Coturnix japonica: one gene and its partner. The protein of the gene in region 2 interacts with the protein of the main gene of each other region in a pairwise test. Links are inferred from orthologs where the notes say so. Each region holds a gene or a part of one and is shown on either strand. Other genes may lie near its edges.

Region 1 (3,659 bases), on a different chromosome or scaffold from region 2:
TGTTATTATCCCATTTCAACTACATTATGAACTCTTCAGGGCCCAGGCCTTCTCTTTAAAGTTCCAAGCACCCTGTTGATGCTGTATAAATAATCATTATCATCATCATCACTATTTCACAGAGAGGATAAATGCAAGATCATAGAGAGAGTTATAGTCCCAGCTAAGATGAGAACGAGGGGTTGCTGGTGCTTATTCTTCTGTTCAGGCCACCATCTTAGGCTTTTCAACATAGTTATTGATCCAGGAAGACTGAATTTACTCTTTAAAATAGCTGGGTGGCATTTGCAAATCTGAAGGCTACAGAGTGCATGATGTTTCACCATAGGGATATTTTCTTCTTCCTTTTGCTTATTCCTCTTACATTCTCATTCCTAATTATGGGATTATAACTGAGAGTTAATAAAAGTGCATCATCTGAGGTTTACATATTACCAGTGCTTTGAAGATATTCAGAGAATGCATTGAATTGTGCTTAACTTATATACTACAACTACTGTGGCAACTCAAAAGCAATGAGAGATTCAGGGAAATACTTAGCACTGCAGACCCTGGCTGTTTTTGCAGTCAGCATAGATGTTTCAGTGACTTATCCTAAGCTACTTAGCTAGAGCAGCCAGTCTAAGCATGGCACTTTTTCACTTCTATCCTTTTTTTTATTTTTAGTACCAGTATAAACACAATTTTGTGATGGAAAGAGGAAAGCACATTGGGGCCAGAAGTGTTCTGGATGATACCAGGTTGCTGCATTGCTTGCATGCTGCCAAATTACAGAGTGAACAGGAGTATAAGAAAGGATCCCAGGGAGTGTGGTCTCAATACAATCTGCCCATGGACATGGTGAATCTTGTCCATGCAAGGAAAGCCCAGGCCTTAGCAAGTGATCAAGATTATAGAAAGAGACTCCACGAATTTACAGCACTCCTGGAAGACTTGAAGATGAAATGGGCCAAAAGAGCCCATATGCTACAGAGCGAGGTAAACTTTCCTTATGTAAAGAGAAAATAACTGAATTTAGTATTGATAGAGCTTTAAAGGAATAGCACAAATTGTTTGCTGACATTGGGCAGTGTTTTTAGAAATAGTATTTGCAAACTTACAATGTCTAGTAGCAAGATATCTGATTGCTCTATAGAATATACATGAATTAGAAGTTCTTATGTTATGAACATGACAGAAAATCAGTGTGGTCCACGTCACTTATCCTAGAGCTCTGGGATATAAAAATATAAAATAAAAATAATAATCAGTAATGTCTCAGCATTTTGGATAGCAGCCAGCCAGTGGTTTGACAGCCATTGCTCTACACATAGAATTCTTTGTGCAGAAGGATTTCTCTCTTTGCCTGTGGACACCAAAGGGAAATGACTGAGGTGATTTTGTCTGATCCCCTCGCTGTATAGTAAGAATAATGTACAGCACCTGTTTGAGCTAGCTGGTTGCCATCCCTTTTGCTTATAGGAGAGGTAAGAATCGTCAGGACTGGGACTACTTTCCTAGCTTTTACTTTACATTGGGTCTGTCTCATTTTCCTGGATAAGAAGGTAGAGGAAACCTTTAATGTGAATAAAGAAAGAGTCTTAAGTCTCCTCTTAGAAATGGGGTTAATGAGGAAGCCTGCACCAGATAAAATAATTAGTATTCCTGACTTGAACTCACCTCAGAAAATTATTTCAAAAGGGTTTCTTTTACGCCCAGTACAAACAGGTTATTACTGACTGCTTTGAGCCATACTAATTCACTTGTGGGGCCTTCTCTTGTAACTTGCATATGATACATTATTTAATTCCTGGTGGAATGAACAAATGCAAACAGTTTGGCTTTACGATCTGATATGTGCATGGCAAATGAAAAACCTCAAAATGTTAATACGAATCAGAGAGTCTTTTTAAAATACCTTAATAGCTGTGGATGCAAAACTGATAGCTAACGATTTTCATTTTCAACAGCATCGCTATAAATCAGACCTGAACTTCATGAAAGGAGTTGGTTGGATGGCTCTGAGATCTCCGCAGATAGAAAGTGTAAAGAAGGCTGGCGAGCTCATCAGTGAGGTAACTGATAAATCTTTCATGGGATAGCACGTCTGTAGGAATTGTTTACCATCAAGGCTCCTCGTTACATGACACTTACGAATGTAGCTTATCATTTCCTTTTGATGTGGGAGCCTGTTTATACAAGGTATAAGTTACCAAGAAGCAATACAGGAGATGCAAGTCCACTGTGTGACACCTGCTGAATATTTTCCATTCCGAATGAAACACAAGAGTATAAACAAAACACGTAGCAATAAATAAATGCAGTAAATTCTATTATAAAATTCTAAGCAGATCCTTATGGAAGTGATATAGAAAGATACAACACTGACAGTCACAATGAAGGTGTGTTAGCCTGCTTAGTATCAGGTATTAATAGAGGAAAAGTATAAGCTGCCAAAAATGCAGTGTTCATAGATTTCACATGTGAATTTTCAGTGCAGGGTCCTTGTGTGTGCACACACACACACACATAAAAATAAAAATAAAGAAAGGTTGGTGATTTGGAATTACAGCAATGAGACAGTGGCATCCTTGTTCACTGGCTGAAAGAGCAACTAAGACCAAAGCAGAACAGTATGTTTTTATCACTGTGGCTTCAGGAATGTGATTTTGGTGATTTACTCCAATTATCACACACCTAGAATCACGATATATCACCACTGTCTAACAGAAGCATCCTGTGTGTGTATTTATTTGTGTTTTTTTGTCCCCTCCAGACCAAGTACCGTCAGAAGCCAGAAAGTCTGAAGTTCACTGCCGTGGTCGACTCTCCAGATTTGATTCATGCTAAAAATAGCTACCTCCAGTGCAATGATGTAGGTTTCATTTGACTATAAATGATCTTAACTTTTGTTGTGCTAAAGGCATTAAAAAGAATCGACCTGACTTCCAGAATCAGTTGCATTCACTGTCTTTTGTCTCCTCAGAGGCTGTACAAGGCTGGAGACTCTGAAGCCAGGCACAGGTATACGCTGCCTCCTGATCATCCAGATTTTATCCGAGCTCGCCAGAATGCACTTCATATCAGTGAAGTAAGTTACAGAAGTTTTTACTTTAAGGAACTGACTTTATAACAATCATTAAAGAAAACACATTTGCTTGGAAATGAAAAGCTTTCATGAATGTGTAGAAGTCAGGTTCTTTGAACATGAACAGAAAATGTAGAGCTTGTGGACTGCCAGTACGCTGCTTGGCCTGGGAGGGAGAGATCAGGAAAGGTTGTTTATTTTTCTTGTAAGAATTTGTTCTGCTTCCTAGGACAAGAAGCTATTATTAAACATTTAAGTCCTAAATTTTAGGCATAACTTCTTATAAAACTTTCTACTTGTATTTGATGAGGCAGAGAGAGAATCCCTCTCTGTCCTTGACTGTATGATCTATCTCCATGAAGCTGCAGTGCTGTGTTGAGACGATCCCTTAGTCACAGTCCTCAACATGAGTGCAAATGCAAGTGAGTGGAATTGATTTAGAGAGATTTTGTTTCCACTTCATGCAGTGGCACACAGTCTATTTCTAATAGTTGTGATCAAATTTGTCATCTTTAGTTGCAGGGTCAGAGTGATCTTAGTTTGAAAAAAGTTTTGAGTTTCTCATTTGGTGGTAGGTCTTCTATATGTACAA
Region 2 (3,659 bases):
ATCTTTTACCTTAATCTGAGATTTTAAAAAATGGCTTTATTAGCATCTATTAAATAGTGTATGTCTGTTGTATTATGGTTTGTTTTTGTTTTTTTTCTTGTCTGTTCTACTTCTTAGGTGCTGTTTTCAGTTTAGTTTTGCAGCAGCTGATATGGTTTCTAAAGTAATCAGATGTGAAGGGATTGGTGATGTTTATAGATGATCTGGAATGCAGAATGATTGGAGGTGGGAGGTAGACTTAATTTTAAATTACTGTTAAAAACAGTACCTGAATATTTTATACTTTAAGAACTGTTTGTTTCTAAATAAATACAACCAAAACAGTGTTAAGAAGCAGCTCAAAATTCAGTTTTATTACCTATATCTTAAAAAATGCTTGTGTGAGTTATGCAATAAAAGTTATTTTAGGATAGAGATAATTTATATAATAAAGTATCTCATTTAAAATCTGTAGCAAGGCACTGTAACATTCAAGTAACATTCTGACAAAGTAATTGCAGCTGACAAATTGATTAGCAACGCTTTTATTTGAGAATATTCATAAAGTGTATGTTTATGATCTTGCTCATAGCTGTCTTACTGAGGGTCACATTCTGCCGTCCTTACTCACGTCAAATAATTTCTTACATTGCAAGTAATCTCACTGATTAAATGTGGAGAGTGATGGCAAAACCTGACCACAGTGAGTAAAAGCAACAGTTGCTTCTTTCAGTCTTTGACAGCTGTGAGAACAACTCTTTATTTTTTTCCAAACCATGCATCCTAAATTCCGACCTGTAAGAGTAGGTACCTATATTTAGCTAGTGAGATTAAGTTGCAGAGGCTTCAGGCAGGGCAAAGCACATTGGTCTGTCTTTTTTACAGACAGACATTTGGGCAGACAAGAGCACAAGCTTTTTGCTCCCTCCCTTCCCCAAGTATTTGCAAAATGGATTCCCAGAGGGAACTGACTGAAGAACTCAGACTTTACCAATCCACCCTTCTTCAGGATGGCCTCAAAGAACTCCTGGAAGAGAAAAAATTCGTAGATTGCTCCCTAAAAGCTGGTGACAGAAGTCTGCCTTGCCACAGATTGATTCTGTCAGCATGTAGCCCTTATTTTCGTGAGTATTTCTTATCTGAGCAAAATGAAGAGAAAAAGAAGGAGGTAGTTCTAGATAACGTTGACCCCAACATCCTGGATATGATTGTCAAATACCTTTATTCAGCAACTATTGATCTTAATGATTCTAACGTGCAAGATATTTTTGCTTTGGCCAGCCGCTTCCAGATCCCTTCTGTATTCACCGTGTGTGTCTCCTATCTTCAGAAGAGGCTTGCTGTCGGTAACTGTCTGGCTATCCTTCGATTAGGTGTTCTGCTTGATTGCCCAAGACTTGCGTTTTCTGCCCGTGATTTTGTTTCAGATCATTTTGTGCAGATCTGCAAAGAAGAAGACTTCCTGCAGCTTGCACCAAACGAACTTATCTCCGTTATTTCACCTGACAGCTTAAATGTAGAGAAGGAAGAACTGGTATTTGAAGCAGTGATGAGATGGGTCCGGTCAGACAAGGAGAACAGAGTAAAGAGCCTAGGAGAAGTTTTTGACTGCATACGTTTTCGTCTTATGCCAGAAAAATATTTCAAAGAACATGTTGAGAAGGACGATATAATTAAAAGCAACTCAGATCTTCAGAAAAAAGTAAAGATTATTAAGGATGCTTATGCTGGAAAACTGCCTGACTCCAGCACAAATAAAGAAAAATCGAACAAAGGGGAAGTGAATGGTGATGTAGGAGATGAAGATTTACTGCCGGGCTACCTAAATGACCTTCCCAGGCACGGCATGTTTGTCAAAGACCTAATTCTCCTGGTTAATGACACTGCTGCAGTAGCTTATGATCCTCTTGAAAATGAATGCTACCTGGCAGCCCTGGCAGAACAGATTCCCAGAAACCATTCCAGTATAGTCACCAAACAAAATCAGGTCTACATTGTTGGAGGACTGTATGTGGAAGAGGAGAACAAAGATCAGCCTTTCCAATCATACTTCTTTCAGGTATAAGCTTTCTAATTATTATTGTTGTGGTAAGTGCTTATTAGAGTTATTGGAAAGTACTTAGAGTCTGCGCAAGTGAATTGTCTAGTCTCTGTATGGTCAGTGGGGAGGTGTTCCAATAAAAAGCTCATCTTGTCTCATAGATATAAATTAAATAGAGGGACTTGTATCTTCTCTTTCAAGATCAAACGCTGGGTAAGATCACAGGAAAGAGTAACTCGTATGTAGATATTATATATAGAGATATAATGTTTGTCTTGTTTATGAAATATTTTAATGACAGAATAATATCTGTATTTTAAATGTCACTTTTTCACTAAAATTTCACAAGTCCTTCTACTACATTTACATTTGAAAGCCTAAGGGCACTCTAAAACATAATTTATTGGTAGAAGGTTGTTCTCCTGGCAAACTGTCAGTGTCAGGATACTAACTGCCACATTTCAACCCAAGTGCCAAATTTTAGTGTGCATAAGTCTTTATAAAGCCAATTAATACAAACTAGCTTCCATGACATATTTCAGAAAAGCAGCAAAATAACAATTTGGCATGCTTACATTACAAACAAATTCTGTGGTATATTTAGCTATCTGTCTACATGCTGTTTTTTAATGTGTAAATGATCTTATGGTGAATTCCACGATGTGCTACTGGCCATGGTCTGTCTTTAGGCACACTGACCTAAAAGAGTGAAAGCAGACCTTTTGACAATATGCAGCAAAACAGTAACAATCAGTGATAGGATCCTAAAGCCTTTACATATCTAAAAATGACAATAGTGAGTGTTTGTAACACTGTGGTTCACTGATTTCACACACCATGAAAGAGCTGGTTTCAAAAATTTTCCATAGCTGTGAGAGGAAAGCCATGTTGCTAGAGGGGGATTAGCACTATTTCATGTCCCTTTATGGGTGAAAAATGCTAATCAATAAAGTGCAGAACTTGTTACAGCTATATTCTTCCCATAGATAAACCACATTGATGTAATCCAGAGCTGAATAATGGGGCTACTAGAAAGGGGTCTCTGAAAAACTAAACTTCAAGAGTGATACTAAAATCTGATTAAATGTTCAGAATGCTACATTATATGTCTAAATTAATATCCTGAAATCCTGCTTCCTTTTTATCATTAAAGATAAATCATCTTTAAGGTTGCTTGTTGCCATACTGCATATGGTTAAAATACTTTTCTGCGTTACTCATCTGGCTGCTCTCTGTAAGATGTTAATATGGTGTCATACCCACATTCACTTCCTAAAGGTCCTTTCTCTGTTAGTCATGCACCTGTTACTCTGTTAGTACAACCTGTTACCATTTGGCTTGGACGCTGGTAACCCAGGACAAAACCAAGCTGCCACTGTCTCAAAAATGCAGGACTAATTGTTTATTGCTCTATCAACTGCGGATGTCACCTTTAAGACTGATACAGAAAGCAGGCTGTCAGCTGTTTTGACCTCTTTACCTAAATCTAGCTACTGGGACAACCCACAGCCTTGAACTACGCTTTACCATTGCTGTAGAACAATTAGTTCAATAGGAGTGGTCTATCAAATCTGGGGGATGCATTTTACCTCGACTTTGGAACACACTTCTAGAAATAGAATGTCACTGAGCTAAACCC

Evidence for each region. The genes of interacting proteins can lie anywhere in the genome.
Region 1: the proteins of KLHL41 (region 2) and NRAP interact in binary tests that used the Homo sapiens proteins (3 or more experiments, as listed by UniProt). The link is inferred for Coturnix japonica from reciprocal best matches to the Homo sapiens genes KLHL41 and NRAP.

Annotation. Positions count from the first base shown.
Region 1 is NC_029521.1:24,360,593-24,364,251, reverse strand, and holds part of NRAP (nebulin-related-anchoring protein), read left to right. Parts: intron 1-666; coding exon 667-978; intron 979-1,949; coding exon 1,950-2,054; intron 2,055-2,755; coding exon 2,756-2,854; intron 2,855-2,965; coding exon 2,966-3,070; intron 3,071-3,659. UniProt on the Homo sapiens protein: May be involved in anchoring the terminal actin filaments in the myofibril to the membrane and in transmitting tension from the myofibrils to the extracellular matrix.
Region 2 is NC_029522.1:16,684,792-16,688,450, reverse strand, and holds part of KLHL41 (kelch-like protein 41), read left to right. Parts: intron 1-864; coding exon 865-2,038; intron 2,039-3,659. UniProt on the Homo sapiens protein: Involved in skeletal muscle development and differentiation. Regulates proliferation and differentiation of myoblasts and plays a role in myofibril assembly by promoting lateral fusion of adjacent thin fibrils into mature, wide myofibrils.